3 linked regions of the Canis lupus familiaris genome follow. The protein of the gene in region 1 binds, or shares a complex with, the protein of each later gene. Links are inferred from orthologs where the notes say so. Each region holds a gene or a part of one and is shown on either strand. Other genes may lie near its edges.

Region 1 (7,596 bases):
CCATTGAGGCTCCAAGGAGAGTTTCCAGGAGGACCTAGAATAGGGTGATCCTGTGTTTTCTAGATACTTCTCTTTCCTGGTAGAGCTTTACCTACTGCCTATACCCCTTGGTTGGTGAATATCTGGGACCTTGGAATCTTGGGCATGGGGTATCAACTTGCTGGTGGTAGCCAGAGTCCTGGGCCACCAGAGGGCCAGTCCCTGGGTAAATGAATGGAAAGGCCTCAGGACCCTGTGGCATTTCTTGCCCCTCATGGCCAGAGGGCAGCTACTGGGCAGAGGCCTCCATGATGCTTGATTAATGGCATGCCAGGGTCTCCTACTCAAGCTGGCCTTGGCTAGGGGATGGTAGACAGTGTGGCTGCTGAAAGCTCCTTTGAGTTATCCTGCAAGTGGCCTCTCTTCAGTCCCCCCAAGAGAGCCCTGGGAAAGGGCCCTCAGATAGCATCTTGATGGGTCCTGGCTATGGCCGTGGTTGTGGCAAGCTATGAGGCTGCCATGTGTCTCCTCAGGTTCCTGGCTGAGATGCGGGATCTGGTGGTTCTCTTGCCCTGTCTTTGAGGTTTTGTCACACATCCTCCTCATGATCATCACGCACCCTGCTCTCCTGGCACCCACAGCCTGTGTTCTTACTCTGCAGACTCAGGCAGCCTCAGACACATCTTAGCCAGCACCAGAGGTCATGGGTGCATGGCTGGGCCCTTGGAGGGGGTGGCATGAGGGAATGCAGTAAACCAGGCTAGGGCAGGATAGCTGGGGCCATGGGCCTCAAAGGTGGCCCTCAGCATTGCTTGGTCCTGATGAGGACCCAGGGAGGTTCCTAACTGAAGCTGGTGTGATCAGCTTCTTCAGAGTTAGTCTTGTCCGGGCTTCAATCTTAAAGGCCACTTCTGTGTGCCTCAGCTTCCCTTGTATCGAACAGGATGTTGGCCCTTCTTGATGGTGGTAAGATCATGGGCCAAGGTGGAAGTGGGTTCATTCTGCCGCTCTTTCTCGAGACCCCTGGACTATCTCCTGGGTGTTCGTGCATTAGCTGTGGAACCTCAGGGACCTCAGTGCTGCCCAGCCCCATGCTCCAAGCTGGCCCCCACTTAGATGGAGTCACTAGAATGCACAAGGGTGTCAAGATCAGGCCATCAAGGTTTCAGCCCCCATTTGTGCCCTTGGCTCTCCCATGGGACAAGTGGGCCTAGCCATCCCTCCACTTCAGGGTCTCCATCTGCAGAGTGGGGACCTTGGCACCCATCTGACCAGCACCTATGTAGCTTCAGTGAGACCCTACTGCAGTACCTGGCCCATAGTAGGTGCCAGATGAGAGGTCATGCTGGAGTGCCCAGACGAAACTCTGGCATGGCGGGGTGAGGGAGGGTGTGGAGGAGGCTGAGCACAGTAGAGGGTGGGTGTAAGGGGGATCCCAGTGGGTGCTGGGGCCATGGAACACAGCATGCAGGGCAGGGAGCTGTGGGACATGACGCTAGGAGGTCGGCAGGGCCTTGAGGGCTGCCAGGGCATGGGCCAGTCTTATCCTGCTGGCACTGAGGAGCCTATAGGGCTCATCTGTAAGCATGAATATGGTGGGATCTGGTCTGTAAGGTGAAGGACCTTAGTGGCTAAGTAGGCAGGACTAGAGCCTGGGGAGGAGCTGGTGCTGCAGTTCAGCAGAAGGAAGGGCCCCAGGGGTGGAGTGGAGGGAGGTAGTGGGGGGTGTGTTCTGTTGGTGCTGGTCCCGGCCATCCCACCTTGCTGGGGGCCTCCCCCTCAGCTCACAGCTCATCCGGCGTGCATGTCTCTCTCCCTTAGGGCATCATGCTGGTCTATGACATCACCAACGAGAAATCCTTTGACAATATCCGGAACTGGATTCGGAACATTGAGGAGGTAAGGCCTGCTGCTCCTCACATGCCTAGGAGCTTCATACGTGCCGTCTCCTCAGTCCCCACCCCAGAGCTGCCTAGTTCACAGACGAGATCACTGAGGCACAGAGACCACTAGAAGTCACTTGCCAAGAGCCCCGTAGCTAAGAACATAACCAGAATGGAGACTGGAACCCAGGCGGCTGACCCTGGAGTCCATACAAGGGCCTGGCCTTATAGGGTGGCCCTGAGAGCCCATTTCCCCAGCAGGCTATTGGGTTTGGGCAGTGTCTCAGGAAAGAAGGGATATCTGAGCTCTTGATTGCCATCAGCATTTGGTGCTTTCTAGAAAAGGAAGGTTCTAGAATAGGCATGACCCTTGCATTTGGTGGATATTGTGAGATGGCATTTCAGATTGTACTGAGTTTCAACAGAGCAGGGCATGAGCTGGTTTGAGCTAACCATGTTTGGGCAGCAGCTCTACAGCTACACCTGGCTGGGAAAGAAGACCTGGAACCAAGGAGGGAAAAGAAGGCAGCTATCCCTACCTTCCCATCCCACAACCAGTGCCCTTGCCCTTCAGCTTTGCATAGAGCTTGCTGTCACCTGCAAAGCCTTCTTGGACAATGGCACTTGAGGCTCTTGATGACTCATTAGGTGGGGCTTCAGGTCTGAGATGCAGCCAGAGGACTTCACCCATCCATAAAGCCGTGGCCAAAGGTCATATCACTGCTGGCATCTGTGAGCAGTGGCATCAGGCCTCCTCCTGACACCCCTGTATTTGCTGGTTAAGAGGCTGGGCCCTGGCTGAGGACAAGGACCGCTCATGTTGGATCTTTGTGGAAGAAGGGGGTCTTGCAGATAACAGGAAGTTAGGCTGGGAGCAGTACAGGGTATTTCACTAAGACCAGATCTAAGCTACACTAGGAAGCTCTCACACTCTGGTCCTTCAGGAAGCACAGGCCCCTCCTCTGGAGAAAGGGTTGGAGGAGGAGCCCTGTTCAGGCCCCGGGGGCAGTGGTGGGAGTGCCAAGGGATAGGGAAGCACCCAGGACTGGCTGCAGTAGGGGGGTGGGGGTGGGGGCACCCCAGACAGGCATGGCCCACTTCCAGAGCCCAAACAGAGCGAGCTGGGGGGTGGGGAGGCAGAGGGTCCTCCGGCAGAAGAGCCACAAAGGGAGGGAGGTGAACAGGGCTAAATAGCCCAGCCCTGCTTGCCTCCCATAGGCTAGTCCCTGCCAGGAGTCCAGGGATGACCTTGGAGCCTGGGTGACACAGCCCATAGAGAAGCTGTCATCAGCAGCCAGAAGGCATGTGGTTGCTCAGGGTATTAGAACCTAGACCCTGCTCTTGTGTTAGCTGTGTGATGTGGGACAGGCCACTCAGCCCCTCTGAGCCTCAGCTTGTCACCTGTACAAGGGTATGCTTGCGGTCTTCGCCCACCATGCTGATTTCGGGACAAACTGCATGTTGGCCTGTAGTCCCTCACCTCCCGTCCCCTCTCCCTGTCAGCATGCTTCTGCAGATGTCGAAAAGATGATACTCGGAAACAAGTGTGATGTGAACGACAAAAGACAAGTTTCCAAGGAACGGGGAGAAAAGGTGAGTGTGGCAACTGGTTTGGACCTGGTGCCGCATGGCAAAGGGACCTTGGGATTTTAGGGTTCTCTGCATGGAGGGTTCCCGATTGCTGCTGGTGAAGTGGGCTTTGGGGGAGACCCCTTCACAGTCTTTATGAGCATACAGTGACCCGCCATCCTGGCTTGTACAAGACTTCAGGGGTCTGAGACTCAGGACTTTGCCAAGCAAACCAGGACACATTGGTTGCACCATTCTGGTGCTTTCCTTGGGAAGGGAGAGTGGAAAGCACTCACCCAGCTGGGCTTCAGTCTAAAGACGGCAAGCACAGGGGCTTCTAGGGTGTCCTTCTGCTCCTGTATGGTGTCTGGTGGGAACGTGTTGAGACCACTGGGAGCAGATGACACAGCCGTGGTTTGAGCCAGGCCCCCCCATCCTCCTGCCAGGGACATCCACCACCTGCTCTCCACTGGGGACTTGTGGGAGCAGCCCAGGAGGTCAGATCCACAGCCTGAGACACCCCCCCACACTTCATTTCTACCCACTCAGGGTGGTTTGTTGGGCTTGGGGGTGAGTGCCTGGTGGCCGGTGTGCATGTGTGTGTCTCCCTTCCTCACAGCTGGCCCTGGACTATGGAATCAAGTTCATGGAGACCAGTGCGAAGGCCAACATCAATGTGGAGAACGTGAGTCCTGGGCCTGCAGCACAGACCCTCTGGGCTGAGGGACAGGCTGTACCCCCTGGGGAGGGTCTGCCTCAGGCTCCGGGCTGCCTTATCAGCCAGCTGGCCGGGAGACACTTTCTGGGCAGTGCCACATGCCAGGCCCCCCAGGGGAATCACTCGCTGCCATGTTGTGACATCAGCAGGTGCAGACTCTGGCTGGCCACCTAGGGTATTAGTATTAGCTCAGTGGCTTTTGGGCAATGCTGGGGAGCAGGCACAGTTTCGTAGGTAGAGAAACTGAGGCTCAGACAGGCCCAGCTGACTGGTGCCCAGGTCTGGCTCTAAGTTTGTTCTCTTGGACACACCACCCTCACAGACAGGCCCCAGGCGCTTGCCTAGATGGAGTCAGGAACCCTGGCTGAGCCTTGGCCCAGGCCACTCTCTTCGCCATGGCGATGCCAGCCTTGCAGTTAACCTGCAAGCCTCCATCCCACTGCCCCAGTAATCTTTCTAAAATGGATCTTCCATGTTGCTCCCAAGCTCAACCCAATACGCCTGGCAGAAAAGGTCCTTCCTTACCAGCCCCAGCCAGTGTGTGCCACCCACAGCTTGCTTGGGCCTTGCCCACCGCTCTCTATCCCAGGCTGCCTGTGCAGCACCTTCCTCGTACCCCCTTTACCCTTGGGAGCCAGCCCAGGTGGGCCCTCCCCAGGAAAGTGTCTCCTGTCTCCTAGACCCATATGCCCCCCTGCTTTGGGCTTCCCTAGCACCCCCAAGTCACCCGCCACAGCAGAACTTTCCACATCACGTGGCCCCAAGAGGGGCCTGGGCGAGCCTTCGTCAAGCATGAGGAGATAACTTTTCACCTGGTACCGCCCCTTCTAGGCCTCCCTGCCAACAGGGGCCCCAAATGAAGCTTGTTTGACTAAGAACGGCTTGTCTTTGTTTCTGCTCCGTTCCTGACCATCAGAAGCAGGGGCTGAAGTGGACAGAGCCCGGGAGTCCGGGATGGGGAGCTAGGTCCTCCTACTGGATCCTTCCAGCTCTGACAGTTAGACACTGACTGCCTTCAGACAAGTCACCGACTGCTTTGAACCAAAGTTTCCTCTCTGTTCAGTTAAGGACAGAGTCCCCACATCCCAGGTCATTGGTTCAAGGGAGGTGGCTATCCAGGTTGGCAGGAGTACCCCAGTAGTGGCAGGAGATGGGGCTGGACAGGTGACACCCACACCCAGGGAGCTACCCTAACTCTGGCCACCCCTACCCCCAACCCCACCATGTCTCCTACACAGGGGCAGCCCGGAACTAACAAGCCCCTATCTGCTCCCTGCTCCAGGGGCACTAATGACATAATGACATGCTTGTTCCACAGGCATTTTTCACTCTCGCCAGAGACATCAAAGCAAAGATGGACAAAAAATTGGTGAGTGTATGTCCTCTTTGAATCCTTGCATGGATCCCTGATGGAGCCAGCTGTACTTGGCCTTAGCTCTGTGATGCATCCCCAGGCAGATGCTACTCATCTGGGCCCAGCCAGACCCAGTAGGGCATCTCTGGGAAAGGGGCAAGGGTTTTAGCAGGAGACGTTTGGGCATCCACAGCCAGGTGCACTGGTCTGCTCCATCCTTCCTCCATGGCTCGGAGCTGCCCTATGCCAGGTGCTGTCTGCTTAGCCGGTGGGCTAGCAGGGAACACACGGCCCTTTCTGTCTCATCCGGGAGACAGCATGCGTGAGGAGAGAACGCCCTCTCAAGGCTAGTCCAGAGCCTCAGTCCACCCGGTGACAGCTCTGTGACCTTCAGTGGGTCCCCAGGCCTTGGGGCGTCTGAGGGGTCCTGCCTGAATTCCTCTCTATCCAACCTTTTATTTTCTGGCTTTTTTGTTTCATGGTCCCAGGCACTGGGCATTTCTAGTGGCACCTCTGGTCATGTCTACACACTTGGCTATATACCTTGGGCATGTTTAGCACCTGAACACTGCCGTGAGTCTTGACCCAGAGCCTCCAATCCAGTGGCCACTCTTTCCCAGCCCTTTCCCTCCCCTTGTCGTCTGATACAGTGTAAAGCCATCTATTTGTTGCTCAGGTTACGTCTGGTCATACAGGAGTGTCAGTATAACACAAAACGCCACTCAAATAGTTCACCTCCGATTTAATACATGCCTTCATCATTCTGAGGTGCTGCAAATGGAGTCATAAGGGATATAACCGATTTCGTAGCAGCCTTTTAACCAAAACAGGGAGCAGCCCACGTAAACACACTGACCAGAAACAGCATGTCGTTTTTCTATCATTTCTTTTCTCGTCAGTATGACAGTAAAATTGTGATTCTGGATGGTCCTTCTGACACTTGCCCACTGACAGTTATGTGAAGCAGTCATGATGACACCCTGCTTTCCTCAGCCTGTGCTTTTGGCATCAGCCTGTAGATTGCCTCCAGAAGCACTGTATCCTCCATAGCAGAGCCTGAAGCCCTAAGGTGCAGCCACAGTCCTTGCGAGTCCTCTTTGTCTGAACTGAATCGCACAATACTGACAGTTAAATTCCTACTCATTTCCTGGCACCTTTGTTTATATTCATGCACCATACCACTTCATCTCGGTCTTGTCTTCTTAATTGAAATATAATTGGCATGTAACATTATGCATGTTCGAGGTGTACAGTATGTTGTTTTTAATACGTTTGTATTTTGAAATCTGATTACTACAGTAGCGTTAGCTAACACCTTTATTACCTCCCTTAGCTATCATTCCTTCTTTGTGTTGAGAACAATTAAGATTGTGTCTCTTAGCAACTTTGTCGGCTGTAATCACTATGCTGTGCATCATATCTCCAGAACCTACTCATCTACTAGTTGCAAGTTCCTGTCTCTTACATCGCTGATGCGGCTGGCTCTGCCCACCCCTGCCTTCTCTCTTGAGAGTGTCCTAGAAATCCAGGCTCTGCCAATGTCCACCCTACTCCCAGATCCCTGGCGTTCTCCCGCTCTCCTCCACCCAGCCCTGCTCACTGCCTAGGTCACCCTCCCCACCTTGCACCCTGCTGCTTCCCTGTCGTCTGCTCCAGCCACACCGGCCTTGAACCGCAACCCCCATGTTCCTTTGGACTTTCCCCTCCACCTGACGTGCTCCCCTCCTGCATTAGTGTCCTGGGGTTGCCACCACAGATTCCCCCAATGGTCTTAACAGCTTGAACAGCACACACATATAAAAGTTCTGGAAGTCACAAGTCTGAAACGGGTCTCACCAGACCAAGATTACAGTATCAGCAGAGGTGCCCACATCTCTGGGGGCCCTAGGGGAGAACCTGCTTCCTTGCCTTGTCCAGCTTCTAGAGGCTGCCACCTGCCTCACCTTACGAGCCCTTCCTCCATCCTCCGAGCCAGCCACCCAGCATCTCTCCAACCCTGCTTCCTTCTTCCTGCTCTTTCTTGACCACAGCTGGAAAAGTTGCTCTGCTGTTTTAAGGAATTACATGGTTAGATTGGGCTCACCTGGATGATC
Region 2 (7,596 bases), on another chromosome or scaffold:
GCCCATCATCTTTCCCTGCCATTTTCCTACTGCCCAGGAAACCATTATGGAGACTCTGGAGCAGAGGAAGGTTAAGGAGGCTCCTGGCTGCAGGACTTATCAGTGCCTTGCTGTCTCCAGGTTCACTGGGACTCTGATTGGATTCAGCAGCCCTCTTTTCAGGAAACATCTATTGATGATTTTGTGAAATGCTGGCCTAATGGGTCAAACCCCAAACCCCATTCAAGGCCCTTGACACTCTGGCCCCAAACAGCCTCTGCAGCCTCAGCCCTATCTCCCCACCCACCCTACTGCTCTGCCCACAAATCCAGTGATGTTTCCATTAATACCCCGGCTTTTCAAACCTTCATTCATTTTTTTCCCTCTGCCTGAAAGGCCCTTGCCTACTTGGCAAACTCCGATCCATCCTTCAAAACCCAGCTCAAATGTTCCCCTCTGTGACAAGTCTCCCCAGTGGGGCATCCCTGGCAGGTCAAATCCTGGGCTGCCGAAGGAAAGTGCTCCCCATCTCTGCCCTTGCTTCCACCCTGGCTATTTTGTTCTGCTGTGAGTCCTGCTCGATGGCAGCTGAATGGCAGGAAGGACAAGATGCCAGGGCTGTTTGGTTATTTATTAGCACAAGGGGAGCTGGCAGCTGACATCACTTACACATCAGTCAGAGCCCAGAACCCACTGTGGGAGAGAGATGCCTGTCAGGCCAGCCAAGAAGAGGGAGGCTCCAGTTCCCGGGCTCCCCGGAAGGCCTGAGGATCTATGACTAGAGGCAGGAATTTCTGCCAGAGATGCCTCCCCACCCTGCATGCCTCTGCAATCCTCCCCAGCCAGGCCTGTGCGCCCCCTCACCCACGGGGGACCCACACCAGGAAGCTCAGTCCTCAGCCACACTCCCTGCAAGATCAGGACCCCAGGAGGCAGGCCTGAGGTTCAGTCACCAGCCACACCCCCTGCAGGACCCACACCAGGACCCTAGGAGGCAGGCCTGAGGCTCAGTCCCCAGCCACACCCCCTGCAGGACCCACACCAGGACCCTAGGAGGCAGGCCTGAGGCTCAGTCCCCAGCTGGCAGAGCACCAGGCTAGGTGTGGCGGGCAGGAAAGGAGGAAGGACGCCAAGCTCACTTGGTGCTGCCACACTCGACTGCAGCCACCTTCACTGCAGGCAGTGTCTGCGAGGCCACGGGCTCGATGGTGAGCGTGTTGTCCTCCACGGCGGCCCGTACCAGTGCTGAGAGCTGCGGCAGAGCAGGGCAGCAGGTGGGTCAGTGAGGGGCTGGCCTCCGTGAGAGGCTGGGCCTGGGGCCAGCTGCCCTCTGCCTCACCTCCTGCATCGTGAAGTCCAGGCAGGGGCCCACGTCCTCCCGGTACACCCTCTCAAGGAAGGGGCAGGTCTTGTCCAGGGTGGGTGACTCCCTCCAGGCCTGGAACTCTGCGAATAGGGTTGTGTCCACCTGTGGGGGAGGGTGAGCCTGATGGGGCAGTCAGACGCCGGGTCGGGGGGCAGGGGGGCAGCATGGCAGGGATAGGCAGAACTGAACGAGGTGAGGGGCCAGGAGGGTTGCAGGGCAGGCCCCAGCCTGCCAGCGGGTCTGTCCCCAGTGGCTAAGCAGGGGGGCAGAGTTCCCAAGAAGAACTACTTCCTTCCCTCTGCACTGAAGGCCTCAGAACTCAAGCTTTCATATCTAGGTGTGCTTTTAGCTTCTCGGCTCTATGAGGTTACAGACTTTGGTCCAGGGCCTCGTCCCTAACAACCTCTCTGCCTCCTGGAGGAGGAAAAGCTGAAGACCGGCCCTGCAGGTACCCCCCACACGCAGGTACCATGGCACACACAGGCCCACGCACATAGAAGGAACACACACGGGCTGCCTCCCTGGGGACAGATGACTAGCTGGTTGCCCTGGGGCATGTGCAGCGAGAATGAGGCTGGGCAGGGGCAGAGGGGCGGCCCCTCTCCAGAGCCATTACCTGTTGGGAAAAGGAGAGAGAGGTAGCAGAGGAGGGGGCCGTAGGTGGCTCCCCAGGCAGGAGCTGCCAGGCCGGCTCATAGGTGAGTTGAACAGCTTTGCTGGGGACCACGCAGAGGAGCAGGGAGAGGAAGGGGGGCAGCCCAGGCTGGGGGGAGGGGCAGACAAAGAGAGACAGACGGACAGATGCACAGAGACAGAACAGACAGTAGGGAGGAGATGTTAGTGTCCAGTTAGAAGCTGAGGACTCAGAAGTGGGGGAGAGGCCTAGCCCGCGCTTTCTCCCTGGAAGCCCCAGAGACACGGGGCAGCATGGAGATGGGGGCCGCCTTGCTTCACAGGAGCCTGGGTCCCCCTGCAGCCCTGGTGGGGTTCACTGGGTGCAGCCCTGAGCTGAGCAACCAGCACCCCGGTCTTGTGGGTCTGCATGGCCCCAGGAGGCGCTACTTATGTGAGGAAGCTGAGGCTCTGGCAGGTGCCTTTACTTGCCCAAAGACCTACGGCCAAGGACATCAGAGCCCACTGCCCGCCTGGACCAAGTACCCCATGTACCCAGCTCAGAGGCAGGGAGGGAGACAGCCCCAAAAGTCTGTGCTTGTCCAGGTACCACAGCCAGAGGCACTGAGGACCTTCAAATCCAGGGATGTCACAAGCTGGTCCTGGACCTCAGGGCTATGGGCATGCAGGGCCCAAGCAGCTTGTCCCCAGAGGCCCAGCAGTGGCCTCTTTAGGCTCAGAGAATATGTCTTCCTGAAGAACTCTCCCCATCCCCCTCACCTAGGCCAGGCCCCCAGGCCCCAGGCCAGTCTCGGGTGCACAGAGTACCACCTACTACTGGAGGGTTGTGGAGGGGTTACCAGGCCCTCATGGCACACAGGAGGGGTACACACGGTACATTCATAGGCTGAGGGCCAAACCTCCTATCACAAAAAACCTGCGCAGCCCTCCCAGACAGGGGACACAGAGACCCAGAGATGGCAGGCCAGGCTCCAGGTCACACAGCGAGGGGTCAGGACTCCCCACTGGGCCCCCCTGCCTGGCTGACACTGAGACCGTGTCTCCCTTTCCTGCCACCCCTCACCTCTTTGCCCTCCTTGTCCGGGGTGAGGGGATGTCCGGCAGTGGGGCACATGGCGGGGCAAAGGGCGCTGCTGGTGCTCTTATGTCGCAAGTGGCCCTTGCGGGGTCCAGCCTTGGTGGGGCTCAGCAGCTGTGGGTGCAGCTCGCGATTGGGAGAGGCTGGTGTGGATGTGAGGACCAGGGTCTTCAAGGCGGTCACCTCCGCCTGCAGCATGTCGATCTGGCCGGGATGAGATGGCTGTCAAGGCCTAATGCGGGCCTGGCTGCCAACCTCCAGCCACCCCAGCTCAGGATAACCTGTCCCAGCAGTGACTGGCATGTAACCCGGCCTGTCATCCTTGGAACAGCATGAGACCTCCGCTTTAGAGAGGGCAAGGGAGGCTCGGAGAGCGACTGTGGCCTGCCCGAGGTCACACAGTATGCCAGGGCTCTGTTGGAGGCACCTGTCCAGGAGGTGGCTGGGCCTCCCACCGAGGGGCCCAGGAGCCAGGAACTACCCAGCCCTCACATTTGACAGACGTACAAACAGACTCTGAAAAGAGGAAGAACTTCCCTGCCCCGGCTCACGTGGCCAGACAAGGTTTTTGCTTTGTAAGGAGAGTAAGGCAGGCAGGAAAGAGACTGTAAGGACTACAGGATCCGCCCCGCCCTAGTAAGCCCCAGAAAGGTCTCTGTGCGCTGGAAATACTGCCCGAGTGCTGGGGAGTTGGATTTCAGCTGTAGCATCTCAGACCCCCGCTTCACTTTCCTAGGCCGCAGGGTCTGCCCATCCCCACTGCCCCACAACCCTGGGACACGCGGGGGTGCGAGGGTCCGATCAGGTAGCCAAAGCTGACTCGAGGGGAGCTCTGGCTGGGCCGGAGTGGTGGGGACCTCACCTTGCCCCGCGCCTCCTTCAGCTGCTTTTCTGACGCTGCCTGCTTCATGTTGGCTTCCCGCACCATTCTGTGGGCTTCCTGGGAAGCAGGGAGGCTCTGCGTGAGTGATGAGGCGCCAGCGCACCCCACAGACCTGCTCCCCAACCTGTCCCCCAGCCAGCAGGCCTGTACCTCAAACAGGCTGGCCGTCAGCTCCTCCAGCTCCTGTTCCAGCTGCTCCCGCACCTTGGACAGCCGCTCACACTCCTCGTCCTTCAGCTGCAGCTCCTGGGGGTTCGGGGAGAGTGGCTGTCAGCCCCCTGGGGCTCTAGGCCCCCTGACCAGGCTCCACCACGGGGTCCTCTTCCTTGGCCCTGGGCCCCAACCCCCTTCCTCTGTCGCCCTGCAGTTGACGACGCAGTTCCCACTTAGCTTGCGGCATGATGTTGCAACCCCAGCTGCCTAGAAGGGGCTTTCGGAGAAGTCAAGACTCCTAAAAAATCCTCCAGAGTCACAAGCACTGGTTTCTCCTCTGTGCTCCCTCAGGCCCAGCCCCAGCGTCTGTGCAGGCAGGTGGCCCTGACGGGAGCCTCCAGGTAGGCCCCGAGCCCTACCACCCCCAGAGCCCCACCTTCTGGGCTTTGTGCAGCTCCTCCTTCAGGAACTCTGAGCCCTTCTCACGGATCTCCATGGAAGAGCTTCGCAGGCGCAACACGTCCAGCTGCGCAGCCGTGGGGCTGTCCTCACCTTGGGCCTCCTCCCCAGCAGGGCTCTCTGCCGGGCCTCCGGGGGACTCCCTGCAGCCCTTCCAGGAGACCGGGACGGTTTCAAGGGGCGGCGGGTGGCCCTCGTCTGGGTGGGGCTGGCTGTGAGGCAAAAAGCAGACACAGGCTGGGGTTCGGAGCCCCAGCGCTGAGCCCAGGACCGGCCCTGAGGACCACGCCTGCCACTGAGGCTGCCCTGGGCCCCTCTGTGAAACAGCAACCCTACCCGCGAGGCTGCCACTGGCTTGTCACCAGGGCGGGATGAGCCAACACAGGGTCTCCTTGGGGCAGGGACAGGACTCCTTCATCTGTGCCAACCCCCTCTAGGGCCGGGATCGGCACGCAGCCAGTGCTCAGTCTGTGTTGGTCCACAGATGACGAAATGCGTTGGCTCTCCATTTCTGCAAGGCGGGGGACCATTGCCACGGCTCCACCTCGAGGGTCACCAAGCGGATCTGACGTGCACAAAGCCCCGGCACAGGGGATCCCTGGGTGGCGCAGCGGTTTAGCGCCTGCCTTTGGCCCAGGGCGCGATCCTGGAGACCCGGGATCGAATCCCACGTCGGGCTCCCGGGGCATGGAGCCTGCTTCTCCCTCTGCCTGTGTCTCTGCCTCTATCCATCTATCTATGTATCTATTTATCTATCATAAATAAATAAATAAAATAAAATAAAATAAATTAAAAAAAAAAAAACCCCGGCACACACAAGGCTCATAAAGGAACTGCCTTCTAGGCTATTGTTAATGCAGATTTGATGCAAATCCTACCCCACTCAGGGTGGGCAGGAGGGGAGGGAGGACGCAGCCAGGGCCAGGAGATGGGGCAGGAAGATTCTGTCAAACAGCCCGGACGGGGCCCACTGCCTTCCTGTGCCCTGAACCTGGCGGGGCGCGGTCCTGGCCCTCCACGGGTGGCGCTCGCCGGTTGGCCTCATGACCTCAAACACCCCCCTCTGGGCCTCAGGACCCTCCGCTCCCTGAAGCGGGAGACCCTAGGGGTGGTGCCCCGGCCAGCAGCCTCTGTCCCCGCCTCCCCCCCCCACTGTCCATCCACACACCCCCACACCCACCCCCCCCTTTGCAACAGACCCTGCCGAGGGAGGGAGGCAGGAAGGGAGAGGGCTCAGCCAACAGTGGTTTGTGCCAAGACAGCACCTCTGGACTTGCTCACTCAGCAAAAGCTGGTGGCTCCTGAGCCAGCAGCTTTGGAGCCATTGTGGCTATGCGGAGGGTGAGGGTGAGGGTGAGGGGCTGGGTGGGGGGTGGGGGGGAGTGGAGGGGGCTCAGGGGGGGCCCATATAGTGGGAAGGAAAGACAAGGCCAAGGGGTCACGGGACTCAGGCTTTCTCAGGGAAAAGTGTGAAAAGCAAGACCAGAGAGCAGTCCCCCCTGTCACCAGGACCCTGAGACAGTCACCAAGCTGCCCCTAAGCCTCAGTCTCCCTCCCAGGGAACACAAAGGGACTGGGTGCCCAGGGACCCCAGCAATGAGTCCACTTCCAACCTTTCATGTAGCTCTGTCCCTACACCCAGCCCAGCCTGCTCTCTGCTCTGGAAAGGGCCCAGACTGTGGCCTCATGGTTCCTTGGCTGGGTCCTGACCGGCAGGGATCCAGGGCTCTGACAGATGACGTGGGGAAACACATCTATTTCTCCATCTACAGTGTCTATCCAGACAGGGATGCTTCCTAACACCTTCGTGTGTGTGTGGTGGGAGGGGGAGAGGGTCCTCCCTTGGCAAGTGGCTCCTGAGGCTCAAGGAGGGGCTGCGGCAGTGCTACAGTGGCCCTAGACTGGGGTCATCACCCAGTGGACTCACATTGTGCCAGGTGCCGCCTGGCTGCTCTGCTCATGTCCTTCATTTACAGCTCTTGATGTCATTCATGGGACTGTCCCCGTCCTACAGATGAGGGACAGAGTGTCTGAGAGGTGCAAAACTTGTCTAGGCAGCCAGGGCTTCGGTCTAGACCCAAAGCATCCCCCGCCTGGTAGGTGGGGGCTGAGGATGGAATCAGCGCATCTGTCTCCAGATCAAGAGTTGCTGGTCCCAGGCAGACTCGGGAGACTCTTCCTTGGCTGCAGCAGGGAAATCTGACCCAATTCTGGCCCGACTGACTTCTCAGCTTCTGCTCAGGCCCAGAAACTGCCTCCCAGGAGGGCGGGCCAGGCTGGGGGAGCTGTGGCTGAGAGCAGAGGCCAGAGGCAGACGAGGCCAGGTCCACACTGGGCTCTGAGCTGGGTACTTACACACCAGCCCTATGAATGGCACTACAGTTCTCTGAAGCTGCTTCCCACCTGTGGGATGGGAGTAAAAATCTGGAGGAGGAGCTCCTGTGTGGCTCAGATGGCTGAGAGTCTGCCTTGGGCTCAGGTCATGATCTCCAAGTCCTGGGATCCAGCACTGCATCACATCAGGCTCCCAGCTCAGCAGGGGACCAGGGCTGATCCCTCAGGTGAGAGAGGACAGATGGCCCTAGTTGCTCAGGTTTGATAGGGACAGCGGACTCCAACTCAGGAGCTGAATGCTTCAACAGGATGAGCCAGAAACGTGGGCCAAGGATAGGGGTAACCAGCAGGGACAGCATGGGACACAGGGCAGGATCCCAGGTTCTAGACACCCAGCCCTGGTGTCTTTTCCTCTGTGAGGACATCATCCCAGACATCACCCACGCCCCTGCCTAGGAGAAAAAGACCTCCAGTGCCTCCCACGAGGGCCACCAGTGTGGTCTGGGCCTCCCACTAGAGTGAAAGACACTAACTCTCCTGCTGGTCCCGAGGGTAGGGGCTGGGGTCATGGCTGGACTGTCCCCCATCATTTTCCCAACAGGCTCTCACTTCAGCCCACTTCTGGGAAAGATAGGGCCCAGTTTTGCAGCCAGAGACAACAGGCTCTGCCCCCATCCCCAGCATAAAAGCCCAACTTGAAAATCCTAATGG
Region 3 (7,596 bases), on another chromosome or scaffold:
TAGGCTGCTTCCAAAGATGGCCACAAGTCTTCCCATCCTGCATGCCTTCTGCAATGAGACTTTCCCTCCCCTCAAGAGGTAGAGTCTATTTTCCCTCTCCTTGAGTCTGGGCTGCCCAGTGACTTGCTTTGACCAATGGAATGTGGTAGAAGCAATACTCTTTGGCTTCTGAGGTTAGGAGATACCCGTTGCAGCTTCCATTTTTGTCCTCGTAGAATTTTTTGTTCTTGTGGAATGCTTGAGACCATAGTTCTGTGAGGAAGCTCAATACAGTACCAGGGAGAGGTCACACGAAGAAGAGAGGTACCCCAGCTGACAGCCCCAACTGTGACCCGCCTCCCACATACCCCACCAAGGCAATAAGAAATGGAGCCATCATGAGAAATCATAAATCATGGGATGCCTGGGTGGCTCAGCAGTTGAGCCTCTGCCTTCGGCCCAGGGCATGATCCCAGAGTCCCAGGATTGAGCCCCACATCGGGCTCCCTGCATGGAGCCTGCTTCTCCCTCTGCCTGTGTCTCTCCCTCTGCCATTCTCTCTCTCTCTGTGTCTCTCATGAATAAATAAAATCTTTAAAAAAAATCTTCATTGTTTTAACTCATGTGGTTTAGGGTATTACATAACAATAGGCCATGGAAAAGGGGGTTTATTGGTAACAAATAATGTATTAATATTATTACTGTAATATATAAATAATAATATAAAATAATAAGAGCTCAGTCTTTGCCAAGGAGAGAGAAGGATGAATCGTGCTCTCTGACTCTCATATCTCAAGAGGTGTCAGTCTGCTGGGCTGCCATAACAAAATACCATAGACTGGGTGATTTGTTTATTTATTTAAGATTTTATTTATTTATTTGAGAAAGAGGACAGTGGGAGACAGAGCACGAGTGAAGGGGGAGGGGCTATGGGAGAGGGAGAAGCCGACTTCCCGCTGAGCAGGGAGCCCTGACGGACTTGGACTCAGACTTGAGCTGGATCCCAGGACCCTGGGATCACAAAATTGAGCCCAAGGCAGATGCTCAACTGACTGGAGCCACCCAGGCACCCAGACTAGGCAGTTTAAACAATAGAATTTTTTTCTCTCACAATTCTGGAGGCCAGAAGTCCAAGATCAGGGTGCCAGCATGGTTAGTTCTGACTCTTCGTGGCTTCTTGTACACAGCAGAGAGAGCAAGCCCTCAGACATCTCCACTTACAGGGGCTTTAACCCAACCATGGGGGCCTTGCCCTAATGACCTCATCTAAACTCCTGGGGATGGGGTTGGCTCTATAGGTTAAGCATCTGCCTTCAGCTCAGGTCATGATCCTGGGGTCCTGGGATTGAGCCCCATGTCGGGCTCCCAGCTCTGCGGCGAGCCTACTTCTCCCTCTCCATCTGCCCGTCCCTCTGCTTGTGCTCAGTCTATCTGTCAAGTAAATAAATTTTTAAAAAAAATTATCTCCCAAAGTCCCCATCTCTAAATACCATTAGACTGGAACTTAGGGCTTCAACATCTGAATTCTGGGGGACACAATCCAATCTGTAGGAAGGGGGAAGCACCACAGGTATAAAGTAGCAAGCAGGTGCCACAGCAAAACACCTAAGTGGATACACAAGCTATACCAGGTCAGGCATTGAAATATTGCATTGTAGTCAGGCTTCCTTTGGTTGCAAGTGACAGAAATTCAGTTCAAACTAGCTTAAGTACAAAAAGGAATTTGTTAACCCACATACCTGGGAAGGATTTTGGATTTTGGGGCTGTTTTCAGAAATAAAAAACTGCAGTCAAGGCCTCAGGGTTGGAGAAGCCAGAGACTTGTTGCCTCTTTCTTTCCTCCTTGCGTCCGCTTTGTTGGCCTCATTATCTTGTGTTGTAGACACACCTTCTGGGAGTCTTATGAAATGTGGTTGCTGGCAATGCCAGTTGAACAAATGAGAAAGAACATCTTTCTTCCAGCTTCTATACATCAAATCCATGGAAATAAGTCTAGTTCTCTTTAAGTCAACTGACCTCAATATCTTATCAATCAATATCAGTTTAACTCTACATACCATCTGACTTACTATACTTTTAAAGTTTCACTTAATTTATTTGTTTATTGATTGCTTCCTTCCCCGTTGGAAAAATAGAAATCACATGATAGGAGATAATTTTGTCTGTTTTGTTCACTGCTATACTGTCACGTGCTATGTATTATTTCACTAATGATGATTATCTCATTAATCACTCAGTCCTAGGAGGCAGTTACTCTTATTATCCTCATTTGATTTATTAGAAAATCAAGGCCTAAGTTAGAGAATTGAAACATGGTCATATTCCTAAAAAGTGGAGAAGCTTGGGTTACTAGCCAGTGCAGTTAGACAAGAGAAAGTAAGAAGAGGTATCAATATTGGAAAGGTGGCAGGGGGAGATTCTTGTTATTAAGAGCAGAATCTCTCTGACTCTAGCTATCAGTGATATTATTAATGTAATAATGATTATTAAGACCCTTCACTTTCAGAGCTTCACAGACAGAAGGTCTGAAATAAAACATCCCATTTATTCCCTTTTCCCCAGTGGTCTGATTCCTCCAAGAGAAGGCCTGGGAGGAAGAAGACAAAAAGACACCCTTGTCTCCAGGACCAGCAATGCCAGCAGTAACAAGGAGGAGAAGACAATCATAAGGAAGCTGTAAGTTACTTGCTGCCCCATTGCCACTAAATCATTGTTGAAGGATGGAGTGGAGGCCCAAGGAGGCTGGCTAGCTACCCAAGGTGGGAAGGCTCTACAATCCTGATTGGTCATGCTGCCACTGTTAGGAAAATCTGAGCTGGACTATTATGAGATCTGTTGGGCAGCAGTCGTCGTCGTCTTCTTCTTCTTCTTCTTCTTCTTCTTCTTCTTCTTCTTCTTCTTCTTCTTCTTCTAAGGTTTTATTTATTTCTTTATTCATGAGAGACAGAGAGAGGCAGAGACACAGGCAGAGGGAGAAGCAGGCTCCATGCAGGGAGCCCAACGCGGGACTTGATCCCGGGACTCCAGAACCACGCCCTGGGCCAAAGGCAGGCACTAAACCGCTGAGCCACCCAGGGATCCCAGAAATCTTCTTTTTTTTTTTTAATTTTATTTATTTATTCATGAGAGACATAGAGAAAGAGGGAGAGACATAGACAGAAGGAGAAGCAGGCTCCATGCAGGGAGCCCGATGTGGGACTTGATCCCAGGACCTCAGGATCACAACCTGAGCCAAAGGCAGACACTCAACCACTGAGCCACCCAGGTGCCCCTGTTAGGCAGCAGTCTAAGCACTTGACATATATTAATTCATTGACTTTTCATAGTGACCCTGTGAGGTAGGAGCTACCATCATCTCCATTCTATAGGTGGAGAAATAGGTACCAAGAGGCAAAGTAATTTGCCTGAGGTCACCCAGATAGTGAATAGTGAAGTCAGGACTTGAACCTACTACTCCAACAACAAGAAAAATAACAATAAGGGATCCCTGGGTGGCGCAGCGGTTTAGCGCCTGCCTTTGGCCCAGGGCACGATCCTGGAGACCCGGGATCGAATCCCATGTCGGGCTCCCGGTGCATGGAGCCTGCTTCTCCCTCTGCCTGTGTCTCTGCCTCTCTCTCTTTCTCTCTCTCTGTGTGTGACTATCATAAATAAATAAATATTAAAAAAAAAAAGAAAAATAACAATAATTACTAGAGTTTATGGTCCCATAAACTGGCTGGCTCAGTTGGAGAAGCTTGTGACTCTTGGTCTTGGGGTCATGAGTTCAAGCCCCTCATTGAGTGTGGAGATTACTTAAAAAAAGGATGGGGGGGATCCCTGGGTGGCGCAGCGGTTTGGCGCCTGCCTTTGGCCCAGGGTGCGATCCTGGAGACCCGGGATCGAATCCCACATCGGGCTCCCGGTGCATGGAGCCTGCTTCTCCCTCTGCCTGTGTCTCTGCCTCATTCTCTCTCTCTCTCTGTGACTATCACAAATAAATAAAAATTAAAAAAAAAAAAAAAAAAAAGGATGGGGGTGGGCTGATTCATTACCTCTCTTACCTCCAACTTCAGAGGACCCTATGTCTCCCATCATTGGGACACAACAGTTTCCTTTGATTACCCCCCTTGTGTTTATGCTGCCTTGTTAATCCCTCATTTCTTTGGGTGCTAAGGCCCAAACCAGAGAATGTGGGGTTACTTGTTTAAATTCAGATTCCCAGAGCAACCTGGGTGGCTCAGTGGTTTAAACGTCACTTTCAGTCCAGGGCCTGATTCTGGAGACCCAGGATCAAGTCCCATGTCAGGCTCCCTGCATGGAGCCTGTTTCTCCCTCTGCCTGTGTCTCTGCCTCTCTCTCTCTCTCTCTCTCTCTCTCTGTGTGTCTCTCATGAATAAATAAATAAAATCTTTAAAATAAATAAATAAATAAATAAATAAATAAATAAATAAATAAATAAATAAATGCAGATTCCCAAACAATAAATAAATAAAATAAAATAAAGTAAAATTCAGATTCTCAGAAGTCAGGTCTACAATGAAGCCAAAAAAATCTGGATTTCTTTTTTTTTTTTTTTTAAGATTTTATTTATTTATTTGAGGGAAAGAAATCGTGAGAGAGCATAAGTTGGGGGAGGGGCAGAGGGAGCAGGAGAAGCAAACTCCCCACTGACCAGGGAGCCCAACTCAGGCTGAGGTGCCAGGACCCTGAGATCATGACCTGAGCCAAAGCAGACACTTAACTGACTGAACCACCCAGGCACTCCAAAATCTGGATTTCTAATAAATTCCTCAGGCAACTCTGATGTGGAGAAGCCTTGGACTACACTTTGAAAGATGCCTTCTCAGCCTCCAGGTGTCATACAATGAGGCATGCCTTTCCCCCACCCCTCCATGAGGCAAACACCGTTTGCCTTTGCTGCTCCAAGAATGTCTGGCCTGGTGACAGTTACCAGCCCCTGACCTCTTGGACAGAGCTGAGAAACCACCTCAGTCAGGATCTCAAATACCTTTGGGGGCCAGGCACTTAATATGGGTGAGTGATGAGGGATAGAGGGGCGGACATTTGCCAGGGTCCTGGCAAGAAACAAATAGTGCATTTAAAAGGAGTGATGTGGGGATCCCTGGGTGGCACAGCGGTTTAAGCACCTGCCTTTGGCCCAGGGCGTGATCCTGGAGACGCGGGATCAAATCCCACGTCGGGCTCCCAGTGCATGGAGCCTGCTTCTCCCTCTGCCTGTGTCTCTGCCTCTCTCTCTCTCTCACTGTGTACCTATCATAAATAAAATAATAAAAATAAAATAAAATTTAAAAAATAAAAATAAAAAAATAAAAGGAGTGATGTGGCCAGCCCGTGTGGCTCAATGGTTTAATGCCGCTTTCAGCCCAGGGTGTGATCCTGGAGACCCGGGATCAAGCCCCACGTGGGGCTGGCTCCCTGCGTGGAGCCTGCTTCTCCTTCTGCCTGTGTCTCTGCCTCTCTCTCTCTGTGTGTGTCCCTCATGAATAAATAAAATATTTTAAAAATAAAAATAAAAAAAAATAAAAGGAGTGATGTGTAACTCAGTCGGTTATGCATCTGCTTTCAGCTCAGGTCATGATCTCGAGGTCCTGAGATCAAGTCCTGTGCTCGCTTTGGCAGCACATATACTGAGATCAAGTCCTTCATCGGGCTCCCTGCTGAGCAGGGAGCCTGTTTCTCTTTTCTCCCTCCTCTCCTTCCCTGTGGCCATGCTCTCTCTCTCTCTCCCCCAAATAAGTAAATAAATAAATAAAATCTTTTTTTTTAAAGATTTTATTTATTTATTCATGAGAAACAGAGAGAGGCAAAGACAGGCAGAGGGAGAAGCAGGCTCCCTGCAGGGAGCCCGATGCAGGACTTGACCCCAGGGATCACACCCTGATCTGACAGCAGATGCTCAACCACTGAACCACCCAGGTGTCCCTTAAATAAATAAAATCTTTAAAAAATAAAAATTAAAAAAAGGAGTTAATAAAAAGATTTAAAGAAGGAACATCTTACAGACACGTGAGCAGGGTTAAGGGAACCATCAAGGGATACAGAAGCACTCCAGCATGGCGGTGTGGGCCCAGGGAGCTGTGAGGCAAAGGGAGGTGGGGGGGGGGGGGGTCCATAGAAGGACATAGCAACTAGTAAGACCAGGCCTGGTGGGGAAGGAGCTGGGGCATAAATACACCTCCCCTCCCTATCTTCCCAGCACCTGCTGGCACCTCCCATTGGCTTGCTGCTCTCATCCACTGAGCTCAGCCTCTCCTGAGTAGACAAGGGGACAGAGAAAGGATGAGATGAATCTGAGGGGCACACAGCCCACTTAATATGCACATACATAGTTCAGTTAAGGGTTACCAGACTTTCTGGAATGCCTGCATGGAAAACTGCTCTGTCAAACAAGACTACATGAAACCAAAATAATTCATCCCTCCACCAAATATTTACTGGGGGCCTGCCATGTGCCAGGCATTGTTCTAAGTCCTGGGGATGCAGTGAACAAGATGAAGCCCTTGCCTTCATGGTGCTTACACTCTAGCAGGGGAGTCAAAGAGTGTGCAGGTAAGGAAGTATATTAACACTTCATCTTCAGCTATCCATTAAATAGGCAGTGGAGAGAGAAGTTGACAGGGGTAAGTCCTGGAAGGCTTCTGTGAGGAGGTGACAGTCAAGCTGGGCCCTGAAAGATCATAAAGATCTGAGGGAAGAGCATTCCTGGTGGAGGGAACAGGCAAGAGGCCTGAGATCAGTCAAAGCAGGGGGCAGGGGGTCCCAGTGAAGACCTTGAGTTTCACTCTGAACACTTTGGGAAGACACTGGAGGGTTTTAGGTTGGAGAGTGACATGACCATATTTACATGTAAAAGCTCCCTCTGTTTTGTGGAGGAGGTGTGGGGGGACAAGTCAGAGCATGGCCTGGGGGAGTGTTTCTTTCACAAGGAAGGTTCCCCTGAGGTAAAGTAAGAAGGAAAGAGCATCTCTATGCCACACCAGGTGGGGCACTTGGAGACATTTGTTCAGCACTTCTATTGGCTGGGCATCCCATTGTAAATAAGGCTTCCAGGAGATGTAAGCTACTGGTTTCTCTGCCTCCTCGAGGAGAGTTCTTTGGGCCCCTTAGAGTTTGGGCTTGATGTGGCAAAAAATAAAATGTTTGTTCTGTGCACAAGCCAGCCTGAGGTCTTGTGTCTAATGAGCACAAGGCCATAATTTCATGGTCAGACAAGCTTATTAAGCTAATTGAATGAATGAATGAATGAGTGAATGAACGAATGAACAATCTTCTGAAGAAGCAGGTCATGCTAGAAGGATTTTCTTTATCCTGAGGGCAGTGGGGAGCCATGAAGTGTTTTAAGCTGAGGAATGATGTAGCTCTCTGTAGTGATACGGTCGTTCTGGCCATGGTGTGAGTGGATTGTAGGGGTGGCGGGAAGGCTGTTGTGTTCATCACAGTGACTTGGACTGGGGGGTGGCAGTGGAGGAAATGAAAAGTGTTAGGATTAGGAACAGATTTGGGGTGTGATGACTAAAATGTAGCAGATGGTGGGGAGGAGCTGAGAACAACCCCCGGGTTCCTGGCATGAATGACTAGGCAGGGGATGATGTCACTTCCTGAGACAGGGAACTG

The links. Proteins that work in one complex are often made in the same cells at the same time.
Region 2: the proteins of RAB8A (region 1) and RAB3IL1 are in contact, whole or in part, in a crystal structure (PDB 4LI0), measured with the Homo sapiens proteins. The link is inferred for Canis lupus familiaris from reciprocal best matches to the Homo sapiens genes RAB8A and RAB3IL1. Residues at the interface, in NP_005361.2 of Homo sapiens: Lys10, Phe33, Ser35, Phe37, Ile43, Asp44, Phe45, Lys46, Ile47, Gln60, Trp62, Thr72, Ile73, Thr75, Ala76, Tyr77, Arg79; in NP_037533.2 of Homo sapiens: Arg104, Glu108, Leu111, Glu112, Thr115, Ala116, Phe119, Glu120, Ala122, His123, Arg127.
Region 3: the proteins of RAB8A (region 1) and RILPL2 are in contact, whole or in part, in a crystal structure (PDB 6SQ2), measured with the Homo sapiens proteins. The link is inferred for Canis lupus familiaris from reciprocal best matches to the Homo sapiens genes RAB8A and RILPL2. Residues at the interface, in NP_005361.2 of Homo sapiens: Ile41, Gly42, Ile43, Asp44, Phe45, Lys46, Ile47, Lys58, Trp62, Phe70, Ile73, Tyr77; in NP_659495.1 of Homo sapiens: Leu135, Leu138, Arg139, Leu142, Gln143, Arg145, Asn146, Lys149, Ser150, Leu153, Glu157.

Annotation. Positions count from the first base shown.
Region 1 is NC_049241.1:46,746,884-46,754,479, reverse strand, and holds part of RAB8A (ras-related protein Rab-8A), read left to right. Parts: intron 1-1,800; coding exon 1,801-1,878; intron 1,879-3,365; coding exon 3,366-3,455; intron 3,456-4,050; coding exon 4,051-4,116; intron 4,117-5,467; coding exon 5,468-5,518; intron 5,519-7,596. UniProt on the Homo sapiens protein: The small GTPases Rab are key regulators of intracellular membrane trafficking, from the formation of transport vesicles to their fusion with membranes.
Region 2 is NC_049239.1:55,117,071-55,124,666, reverse strand, and holds part of RAB3IL1 (guanine nucleotide exchange factor for Rab-3A), read right to left. Parts: intron 6,560-7,596; exon of another isoform or gene 6,541-6,559; coding exon of another isoform or gene 6,479-6,540; intron 5,213-6,478; exon of another isoform or gene 5,082-5,212; coding exon of another isoform or gene 4,888-5,081; intron 4,764-4,887; coding exon 4,529-4,763; intron 4,186-4,528; coding exon 4,090-4,185; intron 3,997-4,089; coding exon 3,919-3,996; intron 3,261-3,918; coding exon 3,042-3,260; intron 2,109-3,041; coding exon 1,962-2,108; intron 1,448-1,961; coding exon 1,319-1,447; intron 1,232-1,318; coding exon 1,119-1,231; intron 1-1,118. UniProt on the Homo sapiens protein: Guanine nucleotide exchange factor (GEF) which may activate RAB3A, a GTPase that regulates synaptic vesicle exocytosis. Promotes the exchange of GDP to GTP, converting inactive GDP-bound Rab proteins into their active GTP-bound form.
Region 3 is NC_049247.1:6,386,232-6,393,827, forward strand, and holds part of RILPL2 (RILP-like protein 2), read left to right. Parts: exon of another isoform or gene 1-472; intron 473-2,541; coding exon 2,542-2,655; intron 2,656-7,596. UniProt on the Homo sapiens protein: Involved in cell shape and neuronal morphogenesis, positively regulating the establishment and maintenance of dendritic spines. Plays a role in cellular protein transport, including protein transport away from primary cilia.